Stegostoma tigrinum: one gene and its partners. The protein of the gene in region 4 interacts with the protein of the main gene of each other region in a pairwise test. Links are inferred from orthologs where the notes say so. Each region holds a gene or a part of one and is shown on either strand. Other genes may lie near its edges.

Evidence for each region.
Region 1: the proteins of agtrap (region 4) and acsf2 interact in binary tests that used the Homo sapiens proteins (3 or more experiments, as listed by UniProt). The two-hybrid records come from large-scale screens. The link is inferred for Stegostoma tigrinum from reciprocal best matches to the Homo sapiens genes AGTRAP and ACSF2.
Region 2: the proteins of agtrap (region 4) and synaptotagmin-16-like interact in binary tests that used the Homo sapiens proteins (3 or more experiments, as listed by UniProt). The link is inferred for Stegostoma tigrinum from reciprocal best matches to the Homo sapiens genes AGTRAP and SYT16.
Region 3: the proteins of agtrap (region 4) and txn2 interact in binary tests that used the Homo sapiens proteins (3 or more experiments, as listed by UniProt). The two-hybrid records come from large-scale screens. The link is inferred for Stegostoma tigrinum from reciprocal best matches to the Homo sapiens genes AGTRAP and TXN2.

The regions. Positions count from the first base shown.
Region 1 is NC_081375.1:36,164,324-36,171,890, forward strand, and holds the start of acsf2 (medium-chain acyl-CoA ligase ACSF2, mitochondrial), read right to left. Parts: upstream 3,109-7,567; 5' UTR 2,518-3,108; coding exon 2,396-2,517; intron 1-2,395. UniProt on the Homo sapiens protein: Acyl-CoA synthases catalyze the initial reaction in fatty acid metabolism, by forming a thioester with CoA. Has some preference toward medium-chain substrates. Plays a role in adipocyte differentiation.
Region 2 is NC_081363.1:29,171,301-29,179,099, reverse strand, and holds the start of synaptotagmin-16-like, read left to right. Parts: upstream 1-4,757; 5' UTR 4,758-4,984; intron 4,985-7,799. UniProt on the Homo sapiens protein: May be involved in the trafficking and exocytosis of secretory vesicles in non-neuronal tissues. Is Ca(2+)-independent.
Region 3 is NC_081391.1:3,483,028-3,490,452, reverse strand, and holds the start of txn2 (thioredoxin, mitochondrial), read left to right. Parts: upstream 1-4,333; 5' UTR 4,334-4,543; exon of another isoform or gene 4,544-4,590; intron 4,591-4,947; exon of another isoform or gene 4,948-5,231; intron 5,232-5,604; exon of another isoform or gene 5,605-5,676; intron 5,677-7,425.
Region 4 is NC_081381.1:28,425,805-28,433,350, forward strand, and holds the start of agtrap (type-1 angiotensin II receptor-associated protein), read right to left. Parts: upstream 3,255-7,546; 5' UTR 3,184-3,254; coding exon 3,157-3,183; intron 2,801-3,156; exon of another isoform or gene 2,700-2,800; coding exon 2,665-2,699; intron 1-2,664. Other genes in the region: draxina (draxin), read right to left, coding at 6,551-6,663. UniProt on the Homo sapiens protein: Appears to be a negative regulator of type-1 angiotensin II receptor-mediated signaling by regulating receptor internalization as well as mechanism of receptor desensitization such as phosphorylation.

The DNA of each region.
Region 1 (7,567 bases), on a different chromosome or scaffold from region 4:
CGACCGACGATCGGTGCAGAAGACGGCGACATCGTCCATGTACAGGGAGGTCTTGACCTGAAGGCCTCCGCTGCCTGGGATAGTCACGCCCTTCAGGCTCACGTCCTTCCTGATGGATGGGGCGAAGGGCTCCACACAGCACACGAACAAGGCAGGAGAGAGCGGGCAGCCCTGCCTGAATCCAGATCTGATGGGAAAACTGTCCAATTCCTACCCAATGATCGAGACTGCGCTAACGATGTTTGTGTAGAGCAGCCGGATCCAATTGCGGATGCCCTCCCCGAACCCCAATTTGGAGAGGACATCCCTCATGTAAGCATGAGAGACCCTGTCGAAGGCCTTCTCCTGGTCCAGGCTGACAAGCCAGGTGTCCACCCGCCTGTCCTGCACGTAGGCGATCGTATCCCTGATGAGCGCGAGGCTCTCAGCGATCTTCCTGCCCGGCACAGCACAGGTTTGGTCGGGGTGATTCACCGACTCCAGGACAGACCTGACCCGGTTGGCTATGACCTTGGCCAGGATTTTGTAGTCCACGTTCAATAGTGAAATGGGACGCCAATTCTTAATTTCTTCCCTCTCCCCCTTCCTCTTGTAAATGAGGGTGATGATGCCCTTCCTCGTGGACTTGCACATTTCCCCTGCCCGAAGCGCACTATCGTACACCTCCAGCAGGTTCTGGCCGACCAGGTCCCACAGAGTGGAATACAGCTCGACCAGTAAGCCGTCGCTCCCGGGAGTCTTATTCCTCTCCAAGGACTTGAGGGCTCTGGTAGCTCATCCAGGGATATCGGCCGGTCCAGCCACTCCCTCGTGCCGTTGTCTAAGACCTCCGAAATAGACGGCAGGAACGGCTTGGAGGCCGTGCTGTCTGTGGGCTTCGTGTCGTACAGTCCGGCATAGAAGGATCTGCAGATCCTCAAAATGTCGGGCCGAGACGACGTCACCGAGCCATCATCCTCCTTCAGCCGGCTAAGCACAGAGCTCTCTTTGTGCACCTTCTGAAAGAAGAAACGCGAGCACATCTTGTCCTGCTCCACGGAGTGGACCCTGGACCGGAAGATTATCCTGGAGGCCTCCGCGGCGAAGAGCGAGGCTTGCTGGCCCCTCACCTCGCGGAGGTCCTCCGTGACATCGAGCCCCATCATCTGCAGAAGGAGCAGGTTCTGCACCCTTTTCTGGAGTCGCGACAGCTTTCTCCACCTCTCTCTCGCCTTCCGAACACCCTTGAGGACAAAGAACCTCTTGATGTTCTCCTTCACCGTCTCCCGTCGCCCGGAGACTCAAAGAGGGGTTTCACAGTTCTCCAACCAACGTACTCCTTCTCAAGCTCCTCGATGTTCTCTGGGGTCAACAGAGTCGTGTTGAGCTTCCACGTCCCCTTGCCGGCCGGCTGGTCGTCCTGTAAGTGACAGTCGGCCAACAGGAGGCAGTGGTCAGAGAAGAACACCGGCTCGACGCCAGTGGACCTGACCGAGAAGGCCCGTGACACAAACAGGAAGTCTATCCTTGAGCGGTCACTGTATATAAATTATGTGCCTGCGCACTTCACTCCATTCACCTGACTAAGGAGCAGCGCTTTGAAATCCTGTGATTTCAAATAAACGTTGGACTATCGAGATATAGGAACTGCCGATGCTGGAGAATCTGAGATAACACAGTGTAGAGCTGGATGAACACTGCAGGCCAAGCAGCATCAGAGGAGCAGGAAAGTTTGACGTTTCGGATTGAGACCCTTCTTCAAAAAAATGTTTCCGTCTCGACCCGAAACGTCAAACTTTCCTGCTCCTCTGATGCTGCTTGGCCTGCTGTGTTCATCCAGCTTCACTCCGTGTTCTCTTATGTTGGACTATAGCCTGGCTTTGTGTGACTTCTGACTTTGTCAGTCCCAGTCCAACACCGGCACCTCAACATCCTAGCTTTTACTTTAATGAGACACCACCCTTATTATAAAAGCAAAATACTACAGATGCTGGAAAACTGAAATAAAAATAGAAAATGCTGAAGAAACTCAGCAGGTCTGACAGCATCTCTCCATGGAAAAACGGAGTTAACGTTGAATGTCTTCGAATGTTGTCAAAACAAAATACTCCTATCAATTCACAGACTGGCAGCCAATATTCTACCTCTCACACGAGAGAATGAGACTATTTAAAATACGCTGACAGATGCTAATATGCACAGCCATCTGTGCCGAAATAACCACAAGACCCGGCGATGAGTGTTTGACAACAAAAACCTCCCAGTCACAGAAGAGATCCTAGAACAGAATGCTTGGGGGAGACACAAACGAAGTGAATGAGTCATTTCTCTCATTTCCACAACCGAAGACATTCTGTTAAATGACCGAAGACACTCTGATCCCCGAAGCTTAGTTACAGCCAGCGGCAGCCTTTACCTGTATGGGGCAAGTGTTTTTGTCCCACTGCTACTGTAGCCTTTCCAGAAATCTTCCGGGAAGAGCCGCCAGCTCCGGTTCCAGGGGCCGGCACAACTCCTCAGCCCGAACGCGAAGCCCATTATTACAAATACAGTGTAGAAAACGGCGATAACTCCGAGGGCTCCCTCTTAACACACTTCTAACTGAACTTTTACACTTCCGCAACCCACACTAAAACCAGATTAGAAGTTCCTTCCCGTCCAATGTCAGCGCAACAGTTGCTCAAAATGAAAGATGGACGGTTCTGCCGACCATTCAGTGTGTGGTATCCGCTGTCAAAGTCTGTTCCAGAGGTCCCAGAAAGAATTCGCCAATGCAGCAGAAAGAAAGCCCAGCGTTTAAACACATCATTGGGGGCAAACGAGACACTGCAACTTTGCTGAACACTGAGGGCAGCTTGTTCTTTGACCCTATGGTCAGGGGTAGGGTTCAATCTCTTTAGAGGAGGTGTGCGGGAGTAAACAGGCAAACTCGGGTAATCAGACCGGAATGCAGCGCCAGGCCAGAAGTGACTCTGCCCACTACAGCCGTTTATAGTATCAGAAATTCCCCACTGAAATCACACCACAGCACCCGACATCTGCAATCATACAGCATTAAAGAAAGAAACTGAACTGTTCAGCCCATCGTGTTTCTGCCAGCTGTTGTGAAATATCTCACTTCCTCAACATCAGGCGACGTTGTTTGGGTTGAACCCACGCTGCAGGCGTTACTCTGCATCACAAACCAACGTCAACCCAACTGACCCTAGTCTGTGCGGGGATTTTACTCTGCATCACAAACGAACCCTCCAGTCAACAGCCTGCTGAGTTTCATCAGCGATTTTTGTTTCTTTTTGTCTTTGAAATAACTGTCCAGTTAGTCTCATTGTGGAATACCAGAGTTTCAAAAAGCAAAACACTTTGAAAAGACTGGGGATGTGGTGGATGGTGTATACAATGGGGTGTGATTTAAGGATAGAATTTCCCTGCAAATCTGTATTTGACATAATGTGAAAAGGTGAAGATCCAGGCATTTGATCTATTTTGTTTTCAGAAATTACCAGGGCTCGAACATTTAATACAAACACGGGATTGTCCAAGCATGAAGGATCACTGGATGAGAAACGTTAACTCAGCAGGTTTTCGAGCATCTGTTCAGAGAAAGCAGAGTTTCTCCTGCACTTTCTGTTTTTGTTTCAGATTTCCAGCATCTGGATGTTTTTGTTATTTTGTTTCCAAGGAGGCAACCATGCAGCATCTGGATGCTTTTGTTGTTTTGTTTCCAAGGAGATAACCATGCAGGCAGGGCGCACATAAAGACAATAAGAGGGATAAATCAGATTCAAAATTACCTTCCTAATTTTAAAAGCTGTTCCCAACCATAAATCTGAATTTCTAATCTGTGTTGATGCTGTCACTTAATAACCATATCTATCCAGATAATTTAGCTGGAATCAATGAACTAACAGTAATTCAACTGTTAATACATTTTCCCCATCAAACACAGTGCAAGTGAGTTGCAGAATAAATTGCTGAGAACACTGTCCCTGTGAATGCTCTGAGGGGAGATGCAGCTAGGCATAGATTCAGAGTAAAACTCCTTTCTATACTGTCCCCACCAATACTCCCAGGGCAGGTACAGCATGCGTTGCGTACAAAATAATGCTTCCTGTACAATTTTACAACCCCATTGAGGCCTGTAACTTTTTTAAAGGATTGAATTTTCCAAACAAATAATAGAAATATAACAAAGGACAAGATCTCACCTTTTAAGACTTTTACTGTAACAAAATATAATCTACATAGATCAAGCCCTAACCTATACATAACTAATGCACCAAACTAAAGAAAACTGTATGTTTTGTATTTACCAACTAAGACAACCAGAATATATATTATCAAACACTTTTGTTCAACATCATGCTTCTGATAGATATGCATCATTAAAAGAACTATCCCAAAGTCACCTCCAGCTCTTCAAAGGAGCCATACTAGGCTGAGTTTGTAGTGTTCTTCAACAATCATTCCATTCTGCCTGGGATCTCACAGATTATAATTATCACCAACAGGTACACTTCATTGGATATGTCTCTCCAGCAGATCATCACAGACCAGAAGGTCTAGAGATTCCCAGATTTGACCCTTTAAAGTTGTTTAGCCAGCTCCGACAAAACTGTTATCACATTGTTATTTGTTCCTATTCCTCAATATTTCTGACAGAACAGCAGCAACGACCTTTCTGGCTCCATACTTTTTCTTTCCAATTCATAGTAGCTGTTCTAGTGAAAGGTGTTAAAACAGCCATTCCACGTCAATGGGCTTTTCTCCTGATGGTGACTGGATCACAATGGCATTTCTCTGAGCCAAAGTGCTTGGAGAAGACATTTTAAAACACATAATTGTCTTGTAATGTTCAGTTTTTATACCACTGTCCCCACCAAATGCTCCCGGTGAAGGTACAGTATAAATTCAACGTACAGTAAAACTTCTTCCACACTTCCACATTAAATAATGAAGCAGGTACAATACTGTTTTGATACAGAACAAAGCACCTTGCAAAGCAGAGTTATCTAAGCTCCTTCCGGGAAGATGGTGACAGAGTAACACTCTCCATGCAGACCCTCTCTACTCCGCCTGTTCTTTTTCTTTTGTTACTATTTTCTTCTCTCCTTTTAACGCTCCTGGAGCAGTGATTGGGGCAGTAGTCCCCAGAACAGCACAAGGGAAAGTGTGTCTCAAAACATCATGAGAGGAAGCTTGGCCTGGAACAACTCGAGGGAAAATGAGTCCTGGAGATCTGCGAGAAGAAAAGCCAGTCCAGGAGCAGCGCAACTTACCTTGGTGTAGCTGAGTGTCTGGTGGAGCAGCTGGAGACTTGGAGTGGAGTGGGACTGTTGTTGGTCAGGGGCCTGGCGTGGGCGATCAGACCACGTGCTTGTTGAGCTGCTGCAATGTAACATTGATCTGAAATTCTTTACCGGACTGTAATGTCAATCCTTTAACTTTGTTGTAACTATTCTACTTCTAACTTTTTTTTAGACACTGTAAGTAATGCTATTACTTTTCCTTTTATTCCTGTTTTGTATCCAACATTTATACCTAGCTACTTCTACCTAAGATGGTGCCATTGTTAAAACTTTTCACTGTACTCATGTACTCCTCTGCTGGAGTACATGTGACAACAGTGAATACTCTATCCCTTGCACTAGGGGTGTGGCACATTTCAACTTCTCTTTCTCTTTAATGGGGACTGTGATTGGAAGTGCAGTGAGCAAATATAAACATAAGGTTTGGCACAATAAGGGGTATGAATTTTTTAAAATTCCAAAGAAATAAATTAATCATTTAAGTAAATTAGTAACTCATAAAATTGCCATTAAAATGTGTCAGCGGCAAATACAAGTTTTTTTTAACCACCTTGGTTAAGAAACAGAGCTAAAGCTGGACTAGGTTGCAAGTCCTGATCACCCAAAGCTGTGGGTAGGCATTGAGGCCAAGTTGACTCGGATTTAACTAACACTGATCTTGCTTTCATGTCTGGCAACACACACTCTGAGCTGGCCTTGGTACAATTCATATAGAAGTGGGGGTTGAGTGGGGGAGAAGTGTTAGAAGCATCTTGTCTTTCGGCCAGGGTATTCCTGCACACCCATGCTGCTTTGCAGATTGGTTTTGAGGAATGAAGAGGAGGAGAAAAGTGAATTTGTGTTTGGCTTCCTCAGTCTCAAGGTTCATAGAAACTCTCCCACTCCCCACATACACGCAGAAACACACACATTCACCCCTCCACTCTGTTTCTCCCACACAAAAACACACATGCCTGCATTCAATCCTCATGCACACAAACGTGCACCCTTGGTCCTAAACCGACACTGTCCCATATCCGTACACTCCCATTCCCCATACAAGCTTTTTCTAATTCCAATACATACTCACTTAACCACTCTGACATTAACTCGCCTACTCACGCTCCTTCATTCCCATATAAATGCTGCCAAGTGATCAACAGGCCTGCTCCACCACCTTGACTGCAGCCTTTCAGGGCATCAATGCTTCAATGAAAGGGAGAGTGCTGTCATCTCACAACCTGTTTGCTATCCTGGACCCTCCTTCCGTAAACCACTTAGCATCTCAGAGTCTTCTCCCCCATCTCCCTCACCATCTTAAATCTTTCTACCCCATCTCCTTCACTATCTCAGAACCTTCTCCTCCATTTCCATCACCATCTCAGAGTCTTATCCCCTGAACCAGTTATCACATCACAGCCTGTTCTTCTCACCCACCTACCGGGTATGCTGTCCTTTACAGTCTCCCCCACACAGCAGCAGGCTTACCATTGTTCCCAGTGTCCTCCTCAAGCTCATTGAAGATAAGGATATTTGCTGCTCTTCCAAAAAGAAGTTATTTATACATAGAATCCCTACAGTGTGGAAACAGGCCATTTGGCCCATTGAATCCTCCAAAGAGCATCCCACCCAAGCCTACACCGCCCCCCCCCCCCCCACCGCCATTCCTGTCACTCTGCATTTCTCATGGCTGATCCACCTAGCCTGTACATCTTTGGACTGTAGAAGGAGCCCATGCAAGACATGGGGAGAATGTGCAAACTCCCCACAGTCACCTGAAAGTGGCACAAACTGTGGTCCCTGGTGCTGAGGGGCTGCTGTGTTAACCACTAAGTCACCATGACATCCCAAAGTAAGGAGGTCCTTGGTCTCTAGATGGTTTCAAACCACCAACCTTCTGGTTACAGCCAAATGCACTAACCTACTGCAACACACAGACAGGTGCCATTTCTTTTCTGTGTTGCTGCCCATTGGCTCAGTAGTGAACCGATCTATGGCAAGGGTGGGAACAAAACAGCTTCAGAATGATGAGCATCTCCATGGTGGATCTCTAACATGTATTTAACTGTATTTACAACAAGGCTTGATGGCCAGATAGGCCCTCTAGGAATAAATTGGATATAAATTGCAAAGTTTACTTGAGTGGGATAAAGAGGAATTTTATTACCCACTGACCCCCATAAAATATTAAAAATGAAACATCAAACACCTAAAATACTCAGGTAATAAGTTTAAAAAGGAAGTTGAGGTATGGACAGGAAGTAATGGCAATTTCACTTTAAAGTGCTCAGAGTCCTTGAGTT
Region 2 (7,799 bases), on a different chromosome or scaffold from region 4:
GTTAAGGGAAATTCACTAACATTATTCTGAATAAATGTTAAGGAAAGGTGGATAGATTCTTTTTGGTGAAAGTCATTGAGTACTGAGTGACACGATTGTTACTTGCCACTTATCGTTCCAATCTTGAATGTTGTCCATGTTTTGCTGCATGTGGGATGGACAGCTTCAGTTTCTGAAGAGCCATGTATGGAACAATGCAATCATTAATGAACATTTTCCTTGTGATTTCACAATGGATGCCGTCATTGATGAAGTAGTTGAATATGGTTGGATTGCAGGCATTTTCCTGAGGAACTCCTGGGGCCATGCCCTAGGACTGAGATGATTCCTCAGACAACCACAACCATCTTTCTCTTTGCAAGGAGTGATTCCGGCCAGTGGAGATATTTCCATCTGATTCCCGTTGATGTCAATTTTACTGCGGCTTCTTGATAGCAACTCACTTTATTACTGTAATTCAATGTTGTTCTCCATGACAACAGCTGTAATGAGGAAAGGAGCCAGGGATCCTGATGGAATCCAAACTAAGTATTGGATATTCCTTGGCCCAATAACCAGGGCTCAGTACTCTCAGGGATGGGTCCTTTGTGCTCAGGGCTGAACCTGGACGCTCTGGGTCAGGCACAGCACTGGAGCTTGTGATTCCTGCTTGGTGGAAGCTGTCTGTCAGTCTGCTGATGACCGAGAGTAACCCCATGGATAGTAATTGGTCACACCGCCCTGTCAGTAAGTGAGCAAAATGTACTTGCAATACCAACTCTATAATAAAGCAAAGTAAAATGGCTAGTTTATGGATAATGACAGGCATTGGTGAGCCCCTGAATATGGGGAAATCAAGTGATTGAAAGGGCAGAAAAATTGTGGAAGAATGGTTTCCACTCGTGTATTTAAATGAATTGAATACATGGATACATTTTGCTTGACATCTCTATTGGTGTTATCCAATAAAAACTGGTGGGCAGCTTGAAATTACCTCTTGTATTATTTTCTCATTTAATAAATTATTAAGCTTTGTTTTCATTGTTCAACATCACTGAAGTCCTTAATTAAATTACTACTTATGTAATTTACTCCCACTCTCACTACATCCACTGGATACTGCATTGGTGTCTCACTGGGTGTTTTTATAAGTTACTGAATAATTTTGTTTAGATTGTCAGTCTGACATTTGATTTCATTAACTGGCAGTGGAGATAAAATAGGCCCTGTTCCAAACTGATCAAGCTCAGCCTGAAGATATTGCAGATAATGGTATGGAAGTGGTAAGAAAACACACTCACGTCCCAGTCACTGTTTGTTGTGAGCACTGTCAGCTCTGCTGTGAAGTTGTCACTGTGATTTAGAATGAGATTCCATCCTACAGTGAGGCAACGAAGCATGTACCATTTTAGCCTTTTGGGTTTTCAACTTAGTGCAGCTTTGAGACCAACTGCACTATGATGCTGAGGCTTTTTTTCTATTCATTTGTGAGGTGTGGACGTCGCTGGCTGAGCCAGCATTTCTTGCCCATCCCTAGTTGCCCTTGAGAAGGTGGTGGTGAACTGCCTTCTTGAACCACTGCAGTCCTCCTGCTGTAGGTTGACCCACAATGCCATTGGTTGGGGTGGGGGATGGTGGAATTCCAGCATTTTGACCCAGTGACGGTGAAGGAACAACGATGTATTTCCCAGTCACGATGGTGAGTGGCTTGGATAGGAACTTGAAGGTGCTGGTGTTCCCATATATCTGCTGCCTTTGTCTTTCTAGATGGATGTGGTTGTGGGTTTGGAAGGAGCTGTTGAAGGATCTTTGGTGAATTTCTGCAGTGCATCATTCAATGTTCGATAAGATCATTGTCACTAGATTAATAATCCGGAGGCCAAGACTAAAGCCCTGGTAGTGTGAGTTTACATCTCACCCTCGTGAGAAATTGAATTTAAATTCAATTCATGCATTTTGTTTTAATTAAAGAAGTGCTGGAATTGAAAACTGGTTTCAAAGATGTAACCATGACATTATCAGTAGTTGGTGTAAGAAATCCATCTGTTCATTAATGTCCTTCAGCGAATGAAATCTGCCACCCTTACCTGTGATTTCAGAGCCACAGTAATGGGCTTGACTCCAAATGTCCTCTGAAATGCCTGAGCAAAAAAACTCAGTCATACCAAACCAAAAACAAGTCAAAGAATGAAAGTGGATGAACTACCTGCTTTCAATGTTAGTTTTGGAAAAACAGAACACCTGCCCTGCCCACCCTACAAAGCCCTAATTACAGAGTTTCTGCAACAATTTGGAGAGCTGTCCTCCACAGAAAGACAGGGTAACAAAGTGTGGAGCTGAATGAACACAGCAGGCCAAGCAGCATCTCAGGAGCACAAAAGCTGCTTGGCCTGCAGTGTTCATCCAGCTCCACACTTTGTTATCTTGGATTCTCCAGCATCTGCAGTTCCCATTATCACGCCACAGAAAGACAATTGGGCAGGTTGGCTGATTCACACTGCTTTCTGGGTACCACAGGAATTAAGTTCTAGGCAATCAATTGATACTGTTAAGTGGTAAATTAGTGACTAGTTTATGGGCCTGTACATTGTTACCACCCTGATTATCACTTGTTTCCAGAGGACAAGAATCATAGAATCCCTACAGGACAAAAAGAGGCCATTTGGTCCATCAAGTCTACATCCTCCGCCAAAGAGCATCTCACCCTGTCCCCATACCGTACATTTCCCATGGCTAACCCACCTACTCTGCACACCCCTGGACACCGTAGAAAATTTAGCATGGCCAATCCAACTAACCTGCACATCTTTGGACAAGGAGAGGAAACTAGAGCGCCTAGAAGAAACCCATGCAGACACAGGGAGGACATGCAAACTCCACACAGGTGCCAGCACCATCATAAAATGTGCCCCCTAGTATCAGCTGTTCTGAACTTCCACATGGCAGTGCCACAGTAGTTTGTCCGACTGACGTGACCTCTGATTAGTCGGCAGTTTCACATGTGGGCAGGATATCACCAGGAAGGGATCCCAAAGGAAAGTCAACTAAGTGATAGGCGTGTGATCCAGTAGGCTTTCCCATCTGCAGTGCAGTAATGGGGATGGAGGGCATTTGGCCTGTTTTGATGGCTTCCACAACAAAAGCAGGAAATTCCACATAAGGACCTTTCGGTGAGGAAACTGAAGAAATGGAAGAATTCTTAAACTGGGGGTGGGGACAGGAAGAACACACGAGATCTGTGTAGTTCAGGAACAATCAGTAACCCTTCAGCCACAGAGACTGGTATTTGGTAAAATTAAGAATCAAAAATGTTCAAGGAAGTGACTTTTTAAAATATATATTATGATTTGATTTGATTTATTGTCACATGTACTGAGGTAGAGTGAAAAGTGTTGTTGTGCATGCTATACAGGCAGATCATACCATACAAAGTGCATCAGGCTAGCAGAACAGAGCGCAAAATACAGTGTTCTAGCCACAGAGAAGGTGTAGGGAGAGAATTAACATTTGAGAGGTCCATTCAAAAGTCTGACAACAGCGGAGAAGAAACTGTTCTTGAATCTGTTCGTATACGGAAACTTTCAGATCTGCTGCCAACAGGTGGAAGCGAGTATTTGATTATTTTGTTGTTTTCCCGAGGCAGTGAGAAGTATAAATCGAGTCAGTGGATAGAAGCTTGTTTGTATGATGGCCTGGGCTATGTTCATGATTCTGTGTAATTTCTTACGGTCTTGGGAAGAGCAAATGCCAAACCATGCTGTGATGCATCCATGTAGGATGTTTTCTGTGAAGTAGCTATAAAAATTAGTAAGAGTCATTGTGGACATGCTGAAATTTATTCGCCTCCTGAGGAAGGAGTGATGGTGTTGTGCTTTCTTGATCATCATGTTGACGTGGGTAGACCAGAGCAGGTTGTTGCTGATCATCACTTCCAGGAAATTGACACTCTTGAATATCTCCATCTCAGCATCATTGATGCAGGCAGGGGAGTGCCCCCCCAACTCACTTCCTGAAGTCAATGACCAGCTCCTTTGTTTTGCTGATGTTCTTCGAGAGATTGGTGTCTTTACACCACTGCCACCAAGCACTTACTCTCCTTCCTGTACTTTGTCTCATCGTTGTTTGAGATCCAACCTACAATGGTGGTGTTGTCAGCGAACTTGTAAAAGGAGTTGGGGCAGAATGTGGTCACACAGTCGTGAGTGTATCAGGTGTATAGTAGGAGGCTGAGTACGCAATCTTGCAGGACACTGGTGTTAAGGATTATCATGGTCCTCCATTGTGGTGTTGTTGCCTATTCTTACCGATTTCAGTCTATGAGTCAGCAAGTCAAGGATCCAGTTACAGAGTGGGGAGCCAAGACCTAGGTCTTGGAGTTTAGAGATGAGTTTATTTGGAATAACAGTGTTGAAGGTGGAGCTGTGTGCCAGAAGTAGGAGCCTGACTTAGGTATGTTTGTTATCCAGATGTGCCAGGGGTGAGTTTAGGGCCAAGGAGATGGCATCTGCCATGGACCCGTTGTGCTGTTAGATGAATTACAAAGGATGATTGCCCTGGAGCTTCAGCATAATGGTATCACAAGTATTCTACAGCGGCAAAATGATTTTTAAAAATTGTAAGTTTACTAGAGTCTGGAAAAGCTCATCAATTTTCATCAAAGGTATTTCAATTTTAGTATAAAATCTGTAAACCAATCAGGCTTGCTGTAATTCTACCTGTTTGAAATCAGAAGGCTGTGGTTTTGTGAGCTGGCCTCCTTTGCAAACATTCTCATTGTTTTGTGAGTAAGTAGAACCCTTAATGAATCAAACCACACCTAAAGTTTCAGGAAGTTGTGCTCAAAGGAGAAGGCTATTGTCAAGAAGTCTTCTCTGACTGAAGGAAAAATAAAAATCCCAAAACAGTGAAGGGAGAACAGATTTTCCGTGGTTTCTTTGTTCCATGTACGATTCCCTGTGGGCTGAAAGCAAGGCGTCAGTGAACGGACCTTAATGGTTACTTTCAGGTAGGATTTGAAACTTGTTGGCCTGGAAACACACCTTAGGCAGTTTCAGCTGGGAGTTGGATATGACGAGGGCAGTCAGTGTGGTAACCTGATGCTACTTGAGTAGTATTGCTGCTTTGCTCCATTTAAGCAGTGTCTGCTGACTTTTCAATAATGCTCTATACATGGTGCCAAAAAGAAATTATTTCTCAGGCTTGTGTTATGTCGAACATTGGTGAGCGTTAATTGACTTTTTGCTTTCTGATTAACCTTCATGATAATATCTTGAAGCATGACGTAAGTCGTACATTCTCATGTTTCATCCAAAACTATAAACCCATCATCCAGAAAAGGCTCAAATTTTTTTACATTTATGACAGATATGGGAGCGTTTTGTGTGTCCTCTTTATATGTTAACTATGGAACAATTTTTCTTTTGTTTTTAAATCTCAAATCCCAAACCTACACTTTTATTACCTCTAAACTTCAATGTTAATGGCTTCAGACTCATGAGATTTACAAACCATTTTTTGGTGGTCATGAGTCATTTGATACCCCAAAAGCATTACCAGTAATAATAGGGTTATGTCAGCAAGAATAACTAATTATGGATCAATACTTATACCTTGGGATGTGGAAGTCACCAGACCAGGCCTGGTATTTCTTCTCCGGCCCTAATTGCAGAAATTCTGATCATTTTATAAACCACAAGAGTTCTCAGAGTCTGCACAAACATTTGGTTGGAACTGACATTGAAACTGGAATGCAAACCATTTGAGGCGTGGCTTTACTTTTCAAAAAGCAGCTGTGGGAGAACTTGATCAGCTGCCTCTTAAAGAGGTACTGTACGTGCGAATTTCTTAATGCATTCATTTCCCAAATGTATGATGCAAACAGGGAAAACATACACGGAAGTTGTGTTTGAATCAGATCATTTGAAGTTAAGATAATAAAGTGTGAGGCTGGATGAACACAGCAGGCCAAGTGGCATCTCAGGAGCACAAAAACTGATGTTTTGGGCCTAGACCCTTCATCAGAGAGGGGGATGGGGTGAGGGTTCTGGAATAAATAGGGAGAGAGGGGGAGGCGGACCGAAGATGGAGAGAAAAGAAGATAGGTGGAGAGGAGAGTATAGGTGGGGAGGTAGGGAGGGGATAGGTCAGTCCAGGGAAGACAGACAGGTCAAGGAGGTGGGATGAGGTTGTAGGTAGGAAATGCAGGTGCGGCTTGAGGTGGGAGGAAGGGATGGGTGAGAGGAAGAACAGGTTAGGGAGGCAGAGACAGGCTGGTGATAATGGGAACTGCAGATGCTGGAGAATCCAAGATAATAAAATGTGAGGCTGGATGAACACAGCAGGCCCAGCAGCATCTCAGGAGCACAAAAGCTGACGTTTCGGGCCTAGACCCTTCATCAGAGAGGGGGTTGGGGTGAGGGTTCTGGAATAAATAGCGAGAGAGGGGGAGGTGGACCGAAGATGGAGAGAAAAGAAGATAAGTGGAGAGGAGAGTATAGGTGGGGAGGTAGGGAGGGGATAGGTCAGTCCAGGGAAGACGGACAGGTCAAGGAGGTGGGATGAGGTTAGTAGGTAGGAGATGGAGGTGCGGCTTGGGGTGGGAGGAAGGGATGGGTGAGAGGAAGAACAGGTTAGGGAGGCAGAGACAGGTTGGACTGGTTTTGGGATGCAGTGGGTGGAGGGGAAGAATTGGGCTGGTTGTGTGGTGCAGGTGGGGGGAGGGGACGAACTGGGCTGATTTTGGGATGCGGTGGGGGAAGGGGAGATTTTGAAGCTGGTGAAGTCCACATTGATACCATTGGGTTGCAGGGTTCCCAAGCGGAATATGAGTTGCTGTTCCTGCAACCTTCGGGTGGCATCATTGTGGCACTGCAGGAGGCCCATGATGGACATGTCATCTAAAGAATGGGAGGGGGAGTGGAAATGGTTTGCGACTGGGAGGTGCAGTTGTTTATTGCGAACCAAGTGGAGATGTTCTGCAAAGCGGTCCCCAAGCCTCCGCTTGGTTTCCCCAATGTAGAGGAAGCCACACCGGGTACAATGGATGCAGTATACCACATTGGCAGATGTGCAGGTGAACCTCTGCTTAATGTGGAAAGTCATCTTGGGGCCTGGGATAGGGGTGAGGGAGGAGGTGTGGGGGCAAGTGTAGCATTTCCTGTGGTTGCAGGGGAAGGTGCCGGGTGTGGTGGGGTTGGAGGGCAGTGTTGAGCGAACAAGGGAGTCACCGCTCGGTTCGCTATAAACAACTGCACCTCCCAGTCGCAAACCATTTCCACTCCCCCGCCCATTCTTTAGATGACATGTCCGTCATGGGCCTCCTGCAGTGCCACAATGATGCCACCCGAAGGTTGCAGGAACAGCAACTCATATTCCGCTTGGGAACCCTGCAGCCCAATGGTATCAATGTGGACTTCACCAGCTTCAAAATCTCCCCTTCCCCCACCACATCCCAAAACCAGCCCAGTTTGTCCCCTCCCCCCACTGCACCACACAACCAGCCCAGCTCTTCCCCTCCACCCACTGAATCCCAAAACCAGTCCAGCCTGTCTCTGCCTCCCTAACCTGCTCTTCCTTTCACCCATCCCTTCCTCCCACCTCAAGCATCACCTCCATTTCCTACCTACCACCTCATCCCACCTCCTTGACCTGTCCGTCTTCCCTAGACTGACCTATCCCCTCCCTACCTCCCCACCTATACCCTCTCCACCTATCTTCTTTTCTCTCCATCTTCGGTCCACCTCCCTCTCTCTCCCTATTTATTCCAGAACCCTCACCCCATCGCCCTCTCTGATGAAGGGTCTAGGCCCAAAACGTCAGCT
Region 3 (7,425 bases), on a different chromosome or scaffold from region 4:
TGACATTTTATTATCTTCGATTCTCCAGCATTTGCAGTTCCCATTATCTCTGATGCAGGTCTTCCACTGTCTGGTGTCCTTGCTTTAGGCACCGCAACTGCTGCAACCAAAGACCTGCTGAGTCCACGCTCTGGTCCTACTGCAGCCATAAGTCTTCACTCCGGGCACTGCCACCCCGCAGCCAATGACCGGCCTAATCCATGAGTCCACACTCCAAGCCACCCACAGCCAGGATTCCTTGCTCCAAGCACTGCCGCCCCTGCAGCCAATGCCCCACCCACACTGTTCCAGCTTCCCCACGTTGTTAGAAGATGAAAAGAAAAAACGGGAAAGAAAAAGTCCAAAAAGGATGGAGGGAGAGAAGGATGCAAATGGCCTGGAGCGTACGGGATCAGGAGACTGAACACTACCTACTTTGCCGACACCACCGTACCTGAAGACATGTCATTGTATAAATATATAGGCATAGATTGGGGAATATCTGTTTCATGATATGGAACAGAAGAGGGGAGAATCAGCAAACAGATTTGATTGACCTAACAATTTGTGGTTCTGGGTGACTGGGATTCTGCTAGGGGCTGTTTCAGAGTCATTTAATTTTCTCTTGGAATTCTCCTACTGGGGGATCATTTGATTCTCAAGGGCACCTTGCGTACTGACAGGGAATGCAATGTGAAACTGAACCATGGTTAGTACCGCTGCCCAGAACCTGGGTTCAATTCCACCTTTTGGTAACTTTCTGTGTGGAATTTGCACATTCTCCTTGTATTTGCATGGGTTTCCTCTAGGTGCTCCAGTTTCCTCTGACAGTCCAAAGACGTGCAGGTCAGCTGGATTGGCCGTACTAAATTGCCTATCCAGGAATGTGCAGGCTAGGTGGACTAGTCAAAGGAAATACAGAGTTACAGGGATAGAGTCGGGGGGTGTGGATCTGGGTGGTATGCTCTTTGAAATTTCAGTATGGACTCGATAGACTGAATGGCCTGCTTCCAAACTGTAGAGATTCTATGATTGTCTTTAGTACAAACTCCCTATGCATTTGTGGTGAGACACAAACAACATTAGCAAGGGGTGTCCTCAATACAGTCTAGGTAGAAAGACATGGAAGCTAAGGACTCAGGGAAATAAACAGTGATGTCTTGAAAAGATAACAAAGTGTGGGGCTGGATGAACACAGCAGGCCAAGCAGTATCTCAGGAGCACTAAAGCTGACGTTTCAGGCCTAGACCCTTCATCAGGGAGGGGGATGGGGAGAGGGTTCTGAAATAAATAGGGAGAGAGGGGGAGGCGGACCAAAGATGGATAGAGGAGAAGATAGGTGGAGAGGAGAGTATAGGTGGGGAGGTAGGGAGGGGATAGGTCAGTCTGGGGAGGATGGATAGGTCAAGGAGGCAGGATGAGGTTAGTAGGTAGGAGATGGAGATGCGGCTAGAGCTGGGAGGAGGGGATAGGTGAGAGGAAGATCAGGTTAGGGAGGCGGGGACGAGCTGGGCTGGTTTTGGGATGCAATGGGGGGAGGGGACAAGCTGGGCTGGTTTTGGGAAGTCCACATTACAGAAGAAGAAATGCTGGAGACCTTAAAATGCATAAAGGTAGATAAATCCCTGGAACCTGATCAAATGTATCCCAGGAAATTGTTGGAAGCTTGGGAGGAAATTCCAATGCCCTCAGCCGAGATATTTGTATCATCGATGCTCATAGGGGAGGTGCTGGAAGACTGGAGGATGGCAAATGTTGTGCCTTTATTAAAGAAAGGCTGGAAGGAAAAGTCAGGTAACTCAGGCCTGTGAGCCTGATGTCAGCGATAGGTAAGTTGTTGAGGGGATTCTGAGAGATGGGGCCTACATGCATTTGGAAAGGCAAGGACTGATTAGGGATAGTCATCATGGCTTTATGTGTGGGAAGTCGTGACTCATAAATTTGATTGAATTTTTTGAAGAGGTGACCGATAAGAAAGATGAAGGCAGATTTGATTTGATTTGATTCATTATTGTCACATGTACTGAGATACAGTGGAAAATTTGTTTTACGTGCTAACCAGACAAATCATACATCCAGGGGTACAATCAGTATAACAGAACAGAATGCAGAATATAGTGTTACAGCTACAGAGAAGATGCTGAGAAAGATTAATTCTAATATCAGAGAAATCCATTCATAAGTATGATAAGCGCGAGGAATAAGCTGTTCTTAAATTCAGTGACACATGCTTGCAAACTTATCTATCTTCTGCCCAATGGAAGAGGGTGGAAGAGAGTATGACTGGAGTGGGAGAGGTCTTTGATGATGTTGGCTGCTTTCCCGAGACAGAGGGAAATGTAGACTGAGTCAATGGAAGGAAGTCTACACGGTTTTTAGCAAGTCTTCAACAAGGTTCAGCATGGTGGGCTGGTTTGTGAGGGTAAATCACATGTGATCCAGGGAAAGCTAGCCAATTGGAATCAAAATTGGGTTGACGATAGGAGGCAGTTGGTTGTGGTACAGGATTGTTGTTCAGACTGGAGGTCTGTGATCACAGTGTGATGCAAGGATTACTGCTAGGTGATGAATGTTGTTCATCATTTATGTAAATGATTTGGATGAGAATATAGTAGGCATGGTTACAAACTTTGCTGGCATATCACCAGCAAAAATTGGTGGTATAGTGGACGGTGAAGAAGGTTGTTGTGATTCGTTGGCTCAACGAGCTAGTTTGTTGTTCCGCAGATATTTCATTGCCCTCTTGGGTAACATAATCAGTGCAGCCTCTGATGAAGTGCTGTTGTGGTTTCCCACCTGTCATTTAAACTCTGGTATCCGTTGATCTGGGTTACCTCACTTCCGGTTTTCCTTCGCAATGGTGTGTATACAGTGTCTAGCTCTAAATGTTTATTAATGGCTTTCTTAGTGGAGAACCAGGCTTCTAGGAATTCCCGTGCTTGTCTCTGCTTCGCCTGTCCCAGGATCCCGGTGTTGTCCCAATTGAACTGGTGGTATTGAAACAGTTACCCTGCAGGGTAATGAAACGTCTGTGGAATAACGAGCCAGCTTGGCAAGCGAACAAACCACAACATCCACAACCTCAGCCACAAATCTACTCTAAAACCTTAGTGAAGAAGGTTATCTAAGAGTACAACGGGATCTTGATAGACTGGGCCAGTAGACCAAGAGATGGCAGTGGAGTTTAATTGAGATAAATGTCGCATTTTGGTAAGACAAAACAGGGCATGACTTTACGTTTATTGGTAGGGCCCAGGGGAGTGTTGTCAAATAGGGAGACCTAGGGGTGCAGATACATAATTTCTTGAAAGTGGTGTCACAGGTAGACAGGGTGATGAAGAAGACATTTGGCACATTGAGTACAGGAGTTGGGATGTTATGTTACAACTGTACAAGATATTGGTAGGGCCACATTTGGAGTAAAGCGTACAATTCTGGCCACCCTGCTATAGGAAGGCTGTGATTAAACTGGAAAGGGTGCAAAAAGGATTTACTAGGATCTTACCATGACTGGAGGGTTTGAGTTATGACAGCCTGAATAGGCTGGGACTTTTTTCCTCTGGAGTGTAGGAAGCTGAGGGGTGAGGTTATGGAGTTTTATAAAATCATGAAGGGCATAAATAAGGTGAATAACCAAGGTATTTCTCTCAGCGAAGTCCAAAACTAGAGGGCATAGATTCAAGGTGAGAGGGGAAGAATTTAAAAGGATCCCCGAGGGACAACTTATTCATACAGGTGGTGTGTGTGCATGGAATGAGCTGTCAGAAAAGTGGCAGAGGTGAGTACAAGCACTTGGACAGATGCATGGATGGAAAGATTTAGAGGAATATGAGCCAAATGGGACTAGATCAGTTTAGGAAACCTGGTCGACATGGGCATGTTGGGCTAAAGGGTCCGTTTCTGTGCTGTATGACTCTATGTGAGTCACTTTAAAATCAGCAAATGTGTTTAAATAAAGTACTTCAGGTACTGAACATCACAAATAGTACTGGGAAATATTGTACTCAAAATGTTAACTCTATTTCTCTCTCCAGATGGTGACGGACCTGTTGAGTTTCTTCTATTTTTAGACTAAATGAAGATGTTATTAGTTAGCTCTGGGCATTTGTATCTAATGTGTAAAATGACAAGTCATTTCCACCCTATGATTTTGTTTTAGCAGCTTGTAGTTGTTGGGCACATCAATATAATTTGTAACTGTCTAATAAGCCACTCGAAGACACTGCAAAATCAAAGCATCAGCCACAAGGGTCAAAGCAGCAGAGGGCAGTGGGCGGGGTTGGATGACACACCACGTGATACTTAACACCGCCCACGAGATCCTTTACAAAGATGATGGTCACCTCTCTCCTCCCCAATCTCCTTTGTATCTCAGTCGACCTCTGCCCACCTTCCCCCCATTTACAAATCGAAAGGAGCAAACTGTCAGCCCGGTCCATCCCTAAACAAAGGAACTACTTGGATTCTCCAGCATCTGCAGTTCCCATTATCACTGATACATCTGCGCAGTTGCGCCGATTCCAATATCGTGAAGAAACTTGGGAAACAGTTTCCAGGACGTGACGTAAGTTAAACCGGAAGGTACTTTGGCCTCGTGTGGAAGCTGGAGAGGTGAGAGAGAAAACGGAAAAAGAATAAAAATTCGGAGAGGGAAGAGAGCGAGAAAAGTAATAAAAGTCTTATGGTGGGGGCGGGAGAGAGAAGTAAATGGGAGAAGGTGGTATTGTGGTAATGTAATTGTCTAGTGACCTAGAGGTCCAGGTTAATGTTCTGGGGACTCTGGTTAAAATCCTGTCATTGGCAGCAATTGGAATTCAAATTCAGTTTACAAGGTCTGGCATTGAAAGGTGGCCTTTGTAACGGTGGCTATCGTAGATTATGTAACAATCACGGACTGTCATAAAAACCCAATCCATGTCCTTCAGAGAGGGTAAATGAATTGTTAACCTTGCCTGCTTTGACCTGCACGTTTCTCCAGTTCCACAGGAAAATGATTGACTTTTGAATGCCTTGAGGGTAGAGAACATACATAAACCTGGTGTAGTGTGTGCGTGGAGAGAAACTCAAGGAGAGGGACAGATAAGGCCTTTGTTGGTTTGTAGAGAAAGTTAACAATTACCTGTAGATGGACTACTGTGGCAATAATCAGTGTAGGAGTGTTAAATATTGATTTCCAGCCTATTGGATTTGTAACTGTCAGCTGGGATGGTCTTGGAGTGGGAGAAAAATGTTGAATCCAGGATGCATGTGGGGTGAGTCAAATTGCTTCTTGCTCCTTCATTGTAATGCAGTGACCCTCTGTGAATATCTGCTGAAGATGTAATGTGATTGGAATTCCTGTAGCCAATCAGACTGGCTTGCAGTCACTTTGAATAAAGCAAGCTATAAAATAAGGTCTGACGTGGAAATGTGCAGCTACCAGAAAGCAATTTTCAGTGCTATTTGAGAGATCTCAGATACCGAAGCTGCCCACTGCAGTAAGACCAGGACAACATCCAGGATTGGGGCCAAAAAGTGGCAAGGAAACATTTGTACCACACAACTGTCAGGCAGTAACCATTTCCAATAAGAGAAAGTCTAACTTGACATTCAATGCCATTACCAGCACTGCGTCTCCAACTATCAACATCCTGGGGGTTATCATTGAATAGAAACTGAACAGGACTCTCCACATAAACGCAGTCCCTACAAGAGCAGGTCAGAGTAACTCACCACATGACTCCCTGAAGCCTGTCCATTATCTACATAGCACAAGCCAAGAATATGATGGAATATTCCCTGCTTGCCTGGATGAGTGAAGCATGACACCATCCAGGGCAAAACGCTGCTTGATTGCATCATTATTAACAAACATTCAATCACTCTATCACCAATGTTTGTAGCAGCAATGTGTACTGTCTACAAGATGCCCTGCAGAAATTTGCTAAAGATCTTTAGACAGCATCTTCCAAACCCACAACCACTATCACAAGGGCGGAAGATAAATGGGAGCAAGACCACCTTCAAATACCCCTTCAAGCCACTCAGTATCCTGACTTCACTGTCTTTCCCCCTATCCCAACAGCATTGTACCTATAGCATATGGATTGTAGTAGTTCAGGAATGTGGCTCATCAACAGCAACTCAAGGACTGGCAAGTGCCCACGTCCTACAAGTGAATAAATGAAGTGGTTTGTTTCTGGGCGTCTGTGACACTTTGGGCACACAGGCAGGTCCAATTATTTGCCAAACCATGACAAATTGCTTTCTTCCCAATAGGTTGAAAAACTCAGTAGGAGCAAGGTGGCCCATTGAACAAACTCCCTTTATTGAGTTTAGCAAAAAACAAGCTGAATCCTTGATAGAATCATCAGATCCCTACAGTGTGGAAAGATGCTATTCAGCTCATTGAATCCACACCGCCTTTCTGAAGATCATCCAACCTAGGCCTTACCTTTGCCCCATAACCCTCCATTTTCCCATGACTAATCCACCAAGCCCACACATTTCTGGTCACTATAGATAATATAGCAAGGCCAGTCCACCTAACCTGCTTATCTTTGGACTGTGGGGGGAAACAGGAGTACCTAGAGGAAGCTCACTCGGACACAAGGGAGCATGTGCAAACTCCACACAGTCACCTGAGGCTGGAATCAAACCCGGGTTCCTGGTCTGTGAGGTAGCAGTGCTAACCACTGAGCCACCATGCTGCCCCAATCTGTGGCATCATCATTTTTTGGTAGACCAGTGTGTGGTCTGATAATAGGATGTTCAGAGAGTGGCTGCTTACTCTAATCGCTGTATGATGAGCTGTAATGCTAGTCCTCTGCTCTTTGTTCTTTGTGCGTTACAAATTGTTTGTGCCTGACTCCCTTTTAATACAGAAATGAAGATGAAATCTTTTCTGAGGGTTGTTGGAATGCAGCATTCTCTTCACCAGAAGATAGAGGAGACTGGTTTTATTTTTGATTGAAATTTAAAGATCTCGTGGGGGGTGGTGGTGAATGATGTACATCTCATCTGAAGTCCCATGTTCTTATCTCTCTGAACTTAGTCCTGTGCAATTGCTGTAGTATGTCTGTGATATTTAAATGATGATTAGAATTAATCCATGTGATCTGCTTGATTTTTGTTTTCTCCCTCAATGGAATATTCTTGTCCCTGCAAGACAACAGAAGCTTCAAGCTTCAATAGAAATGCCCTGACGTGAATTTGTACAGGCTGTGGAAGCACTGTTCTCTTATGACTGATGTAACTTTCCTGCATTGTAATAAATCCTATTGATTGGCTAAGTCCCTGGTCTGATCTTCTGCTGTTCTAGGTTGCAGAGACATTGATGATTTGCACTCTGCTGGCGTCCTTAGCTGGGATAGTATTAATTCATTTCTAGGGAGCAGCTACATATAAATACAAACTGAGTTAAACCATTCAACCCCTTGAGATGCTACCACTATCGGGTGCCCAGAA
Region 4 (7,546 bases):
CCCACCAACCTCTGGATACAACGCATCATCCTCCGACACTTCTGCCATCTACAGTCCAACCCCACCACCCAAGACATTTTTCCATCCCCACCCTTGTCTGCCTTCCGGAGAGACCACTCACTCTGTGACTCCGTTGTCCGCTCCACGCTCCCCTCCAACCCCACCACACCCGACACCTTCCCCTGCAACCGCGGGAAGTGTTACACTTGCCCCCACACCTCCTCCCTCACCCCTATCCGGGCCTTAAGATGATTTTCCATATTAAGCAGATGTTCACCTGCACATCTGCCAATGTGGTACACTGTATCCACTGTACACGGTGTGGCTTCCTCTACATTGGCAAAACCAAGCGGAGGCTTGGGGAACACTTTGCAGAACACCTACGCTCGGTTTGCAATAAACAACTGCACCCTCCAGTCGCAAACCATTTTAACTCCCCCTCCCATTCCTCAGACGACATGTCCATCATGGGCCTCCTGCACTGCCACAATAATGCCACCCGAAGGTTGCAGGAACAGCAACTCATATTCCACTTAGCAACCCTGCAGCCCAATGGTATCAATGTGATCTCCCCTTCCCCCACTGCATCCCAAAACCAGCCCATCTCGTCCCCTCCCCCCACTGCATCCCAAAACCAGCCCAGCTTGTCCCCGCCTCCCTAACCTGTTCTTCCTCACCTATCCCCTCCTCCCACCTCAAGCCGCACCTCCATTTCCTACCTACTAACATCATCCCGCCTCCTTGACCTGTCCGTCCTCCCTGGACTGACCTATCCACTCCCTACCTCCCCACCTATACTCTCCTCTCCACCTATCTTCTTTTCTCTCTCCATCTTCGGTCCGCCTCCCCCCCTCTCCCTATTTATTCCAGAACCCTCTCCCCATCCCCCTCTCTGATGAAGGGTCTAGGCCCGAAACGTCAGCTTTTGTGCTCCTGAGATGCTGCTTGGCCTGCTGTGTTCATCCGGCTTCACACTTTGTTATCAGCACATTATGACGTGAATGGCTGTAAATTGGGAGAAGGGAGTGTGCAGTGGGACTTGGATGTCATTGTGCACCAGTCACTGATATTAAGCACGCAAGTGCAGCAGGCGGTCAAGAAGGCAAATAGTGTGTGCGCCTTCATTGCGAAAGGTTTTGAGTCCAGGAGCAGGGATGTGTTGCTGCCATTATACAGGGCCTTGGTGAGGCCATACATAGCATATTGTGTGCAGTTTTGGTCTCCTTTTCTGCAGAAGGATGCTCTTGCTCTCGCTCTCAAAAGGAGTGCAATGAAGGCTTACTAGGCTGATTCTGGGGATGATGAAACTCACATATGAGGAGAGATTGACTAGGTTAGAATTGTCTTTGCTGGAGTTCAGACAAATGAGGAGGGGATCTCAAAGACTTAGAAAATTCTAATAGGACTAGATAGGATAGATGCAGGGAGCATGTTCCCAATGGTGAGTGTGTCCAAAAGCAGGGATCACAGTCTGAGAATCAAAATGGACCATTTAGGTCAGAGATGAGGAGACATTTATTTTCCCAAAAGAGTAGTGAACTTATGGAATTTATTAGCACAGAAATTTGTTGATGTCAAAACAGTAAATGTATTCAAGTGGTGGCTAGATATAGCACTTGGGGGTGAATGATCGATTATGAGGAAGAAAGCAGGAATAGGCTATTGAGTTGGATAATCAACCATGATCATGAAGAATGGTGGAGCAGGCTTGAAGGACCGAATACCCTCGTCTTGTTTCTATGTTTCTTCCATGTCTACAACTTCCACCCACACCTTCCAAACACTGTCTAAATAACTAGTGTTGTGAAACATTCTCTTTCACTACCACCGCCACATACTGTCAATCATCCAATTACCGAAGCAGGACTCAGTTTTCCATAAATTGATTAGATTCGATTCCTAGATTAGATTCCCTACAGTGTGGAAACAGGCCCTTCGGCCCAACAAGTCCACACCGCCCCTTGAAGCATCCCACCCAGATCCATCCCCCTACAACCTACACAACCCTGAACACTATGGGCAATTTAGCATGGCCAATCCACCTAACCTGCACATCTTTGGACTGTGGGAGGAAACCGGAGCACCCGGAGGAAACCCACACAGACACGGGGAGAATGTGCAAACTCCACACAGGCAGTCGCCCGAGACTGGAATTGAACCCGGGTCCCTGGTGCTGTGAGGCTGCAGTGCTTACCACTGAGCCACCGTGCCACCCTATCTGCATTTCATTGTTCAATACAAACTCCAGACAGCACTGCCCCTTCCTAACCAGCTCCCCTTAAATATTTGCTCCAATGACTATTAGCTGTTGTCTAACCTCTGGAACATATATCCTGGACAATAATTTACAATATGGTCACTTTCTGTCAATTACTGAATATTGTTCTTCTGAGGTTTGTGTTCTAGAATCTTTGCTGCCCCTTCAAAGCCTTCCTTAAACTCCATCTCTTTGGCCAATTCTTTAGTCAACCTTTATATAATTTCCTTTGTCTCAATGGCAATTTACTTTCAATTAATCCTCAAGCAGGATGCAATACTTTTTCTACAACAAAAAAGGGCTAAGAAAAAAAATCAATGAGCGTTTGATATTACCACATATTTTCACCATGTGGACAGGAATACAAATCCAGTTAACAGATGCTTGTTAATTAATGCATCACTCACCAAGTTGTCAGGAGCCAGTGCACAACGATGATCATCTGTAGAAACACGAACCCAGGTCAATCCGAAAGAACAAACAAACACTACAATTCTATAGACAGACTGAACTAGAGTCTGTCGTTCTCCCACAACATCATTCCTAGAGAATCACAGAACACCCGAGATTATAGCCTGAAACTGACTCAGAATTTCTGTCATTTGACAAAACCACTCCCTATAGCCCGTCGACTAGATATCAGTCTGCAGCTCACTAGTGAAGGGGGAAAGCAGGCAGTAGGAGCTAGGGGAAGGTAAGGCAAGGGAACAACGGGAGAGGGAGAAAAGGGGATGAAGGGACAAAAGTTATGCTCAGCTCCGCACAACACCAATAATTTAAACTTCGGGCTGTTCCTAAAGCCAGACTGTTTCTTTAAGATCCCGATCGATAACCCTGTTCTTAGCGGGCAGCCGGAGTTCGATTTCTTGACCCTCACATTTCCATTCCACAAACTTTACCTTCAGGCTAACCACCGGCAGTTCCATCGCTGAAACTTCATGAAGTAACAAACTTCGAGGCGACCCATGTGACCCTGCATCATGTGACCCGGGCTGGATGAGGAAACCCTCAGGGTGCTGATGTTTGTTGGGTTCCTCCCGCCTCAAACCCCACAATTGAAGAAGGTGGCAAAACCGATCAATGACACTGACTCATTGCTCTCTGAGAATCAGCTGCTTAACGTCATAAGAGAGTCTTAAAATTAATCGTGGACATAGTTCACAGTCAGTGGGCCTCTGATGCGCTAACATTATATTTCTGCCGAGTCACTTGAATCGTCATTATCCCCAGAACGAAAAAAACCCGTTAATTTTACATTAGCTAAAATAACTTTAAATCGACATACATCGATGCTGCCAAATGAAACTTTTGTTTCAGAATTGGTTATTTAGGGTATGGGAGCGTTGTTGACAGGGGAGGCTTTTGAACAAAATGAATATGTTAACGCTGACAGGAGTGCGGGAGTTGTGACATTTCGCATTTTGCTGTGGTTTCTGGCACTTGTCCACACGGAGTTGGTCTCTATCGGGTGTCGGACCTGCTGCAGCAGATCACACCCCCAGACCAACGACCAACACTGTGGACATTCATTAAAATCGTAATAATCAAATATTTATGGTGGGCTTGCACATCCCTCAAATGCCAAACTAATACACCACTGCCACTTGCTTACGTCAAATCAGTTAGGGATAGATTTTCTAATACACTGTACCTTTTAAAATATGTAAAGTATCAGGTGCGAGACAAAAAATACTGACAGTAAAAAACAAAGCCAAAACTATCTTGACTTTGGTGCATCAGCTGTGTCTCAGTGGTAGAGATAATGGGAACTGCAGGTGCTGGAGAATCCGAGATAACAAGGTGTAGAGCTGGATGAAGGCCAAAGAGCATGAGAGGAGCAGAAAAGTTGACGTTTCGGACCGAGACGTTTCTTCAGAAGGCGGGGGGTTCTGAAATAAATAGGGAGAGAGAGGAGGCGGATCGAAGATGGATAGAGAAGATCGGTGGAAAAGACACACAAGTCAAAGAGGCGGGGATGGAGCCAGTAAGAGAGAATGCAGGAGGTAGGGAGGAGATAGGTAAAGGGGGCGGGGTAACTCTCAAGACCAGCTTGTACTACCTATTTCCCTTGGTGTGATGGCACTAGACCTTATTCTTAAACCATTACAATTCATGTTGTGAAGGTTCTCCCAACGTGCTGGGAGTTCTACATTTTGATCCAATAATAAAGAACACATCTCAATCTAACTGTTGGATACAAACAAATGAACATTTGACAGAAGCGATTCTGAAGTTCATTTTCTCTACAATTAAAATTACAATGAGACTGAAATAATCAGGTGTGCACCAAGATGTGAGATGAACTTAGTCAGTATGTTCCATTTCAAAGTTTTTAATTGGTTGTCAGATTTTGTTTGTTTCATGTAGGCTAATATTAAAATTAAATAGAAAACAAAAGTGCAAAATCTGATACATAATCATTCTTTCGTCATGCATTCCATTGCTATAAATTCACATGCAGGACAACACGAAGTGTAACTATAACAGACAATGCAACTATAACAATATGACATACAGTCTGCAAAGACTTTACATTTCTTTTTGAGATACAGCATTGCTGGCAAGATCTGCATTTATAGCCCATCACTAAATGCCCTTTCGATGGTGATGGTAATTTGCCTTCCTGAATCATTACTATCTGTGTATGAAAATATTTACACAATGTTGTTAGGTACAGACTTCCAAGATTTTGACCCAACAATGATGAAAAACAGCAATATGTGTTCAAGCCAGATGGTTGTCACAGTGACTAACTATAATAATGTGACAATATATCTATAAAAAAAGTTAAATATTCTCTCAGTTTTACAGTTATTCAAAGTAGAGATTCTCACATCACAACCCTGACCCTTACTGCAATATCTAAATTGGACTGTCCTAATACAAAAACACAAGAACTGCACCTATGCCCATCTATACCTGAGTCATAGAAAGGCTGTGTTTTAACATTGTACAAGAAGTAAAATATTACAGACACTGTTGTGCATCTGAAATACCTTTACTCAAAACAACGAATCTCTGTTCTTATCACAGATGAAGACGGACCAGCTCAGTGTTTTCAGTACTTTCTATTCCTTGTTCCATCTTCACCTCTTACAACACAAGTTATAACAAGGGTTGAAAACTACTTGGAGAACATTGTTGGAAAAGGTAATTAATTATAAGTTATATTAAGTTGAAATGACAGTAGTCCTTTGAAAACAAGGGTCATCTATTCGGTGGATGTTATGATAAAGCTTCGACATATCTGTATAACATCAACCAGCTTTTCTGATTCTTATTATTATCTGGGACACTCCTGGATATATGCCCAGTTATCAGGTGAGAAAAGTACAGAGTCTTTGTTGCCCTTCACATTCAAACAGTCCACAAATAATTTACGAATATTCAATGTTTAGACTCATACTTGGTAACAGTCACTTGGGCAAGGTACAGGCTGGTACCAGCACCTAGAGATGTAGCTCAGTAAACATCAAATGAAAAATTTCAGATTGATTAACTATAAACAATTCAATTATTATACAGTAATTGATCACGGCTTTAGGCTGTGCAGGAGCCTAAATTGTGTTTTAAAGAGTCTGGTTTTATTGTGAGTTTAAATTATATTTATTTTTAAAAGTTGGTGAAATATTGCAGGTTTGTAGTAATATCAATAAGTTTAAAGCTGAAAACATGTTGGGACATCTGATTTCAAGAGAATGATCATTCATGAATGATCAATGGTGACAACGTTTTAACAGAAGGGTGATACCTGATGGGAGGTTGTCTCAAGTAAAGCTGTTGGGAGAGAACTGTAGGGAGATTCCTAGAAAATAAAAAGATATAAGGAGGAATTCAAAGATAACAAGAAACTCTTGTATACAAGGTATTATTGCTAAATATTGTGTTAGTTACCATTTTGCTAAATAACATTCAAAACTGTTTATGAAAGTACGGTATTACAAATACAATTTTCGTGTGGGTACGAGCAGCAGGATCATTTCAAATAAGAAATGAGTTGAATGGGACAATATAAACCATTGGGGATTCCATTATCATAGTTGAGTAGTGGATTCTGGGTATTGTTGGGATTTGTTGGATTATAGTTTTGGAATGTAGGGCGTAAATAGGGATATTTTCAACAGACATGACTGGGTGATTGCAAGAATCTTATTCCAGACTGCCCCAGATGTGGCATCGCCTATCAGGGCAGTCACAGGCATTCTTGGAGCCATCAAGATTTTCACTGTTGTTATTGGATGAGGATTGACTCGTTGTGTGGGTCAAAACAGCTGGATTCCTTATGATGTCTGCTCAGACCGTAATAAATGATCCATGATTGATGTCAACAGATTCTGGTTCCACACATCGTCCTCGCCTGCGGGTCACTCTCCGATTCCGATGGAACTTGGCATAACAGCGAAGACCTGATAAAGACAGAAGAGTGGGTTCAGTCTTGAGCACTCATCTGACAGGGCCTGGCTCAATTGCCAACTTCACTTCTAACACGGTCAGGAATCAGATGATACCAGGTTATAGTCCAATAGGTTTACTTGAAATCATAAGCTTTCAGAGTATAGCCCCTTCATCAGCGAAATAAGAAAGAAGTACACAGTCACAGAATTTATAGGCAGTGAGATGTAAAGATCATACAACTGGTGTGAAGTGGAGTGTTGAATAATAAGTCTCCATGGGTGATCCGAAGTGTCAGATCGTATAAGTAAAGTGTTGGCAGCTGAATAACAAGTGAAGGGATGGTTTATAATCTGATTAAATGAGGCAGAGGGATAATTACAAAAAATTAAAAATAAGATGATGTCATGTTATTCCAGTCATTTGGTTTGTCTCCAGCACCACCTTACTTTTAATGTTTTTGTAATTATTTCTGAGCCTCATTTAATCAGATTATAGGTAATCCCTTGGTTTGTTATTCAGTTGTTGATGCTGTACTCACATCTGATACTTTTGCTCACCTGCAGAGACTTATTATTTGACACTCCACTCTCACCATTTGTATGATCTTTTGATTTCTCTGCCCTTGATCTCTCTGCCTACAAATTCTGTCTCTGTGTGCTTCCCTCTCACTTCACCTGACAAAAAAGGTTATACTCTGAAAGCTTGTGATTTCAAATAAACCTGCTAGACTAAAACTTCATATTGTCTGATTTCTGACCTTGTCCACCCCAGTGCAACACCAGCACCTGCACATTATCACTTCTAACAAGACTGAGCTTCTTTTTCCATCTACCATTCTGATATTAATAATTCACACTTTCAGTGTGTAATGCAGAGTCAAAACACAACCTAACA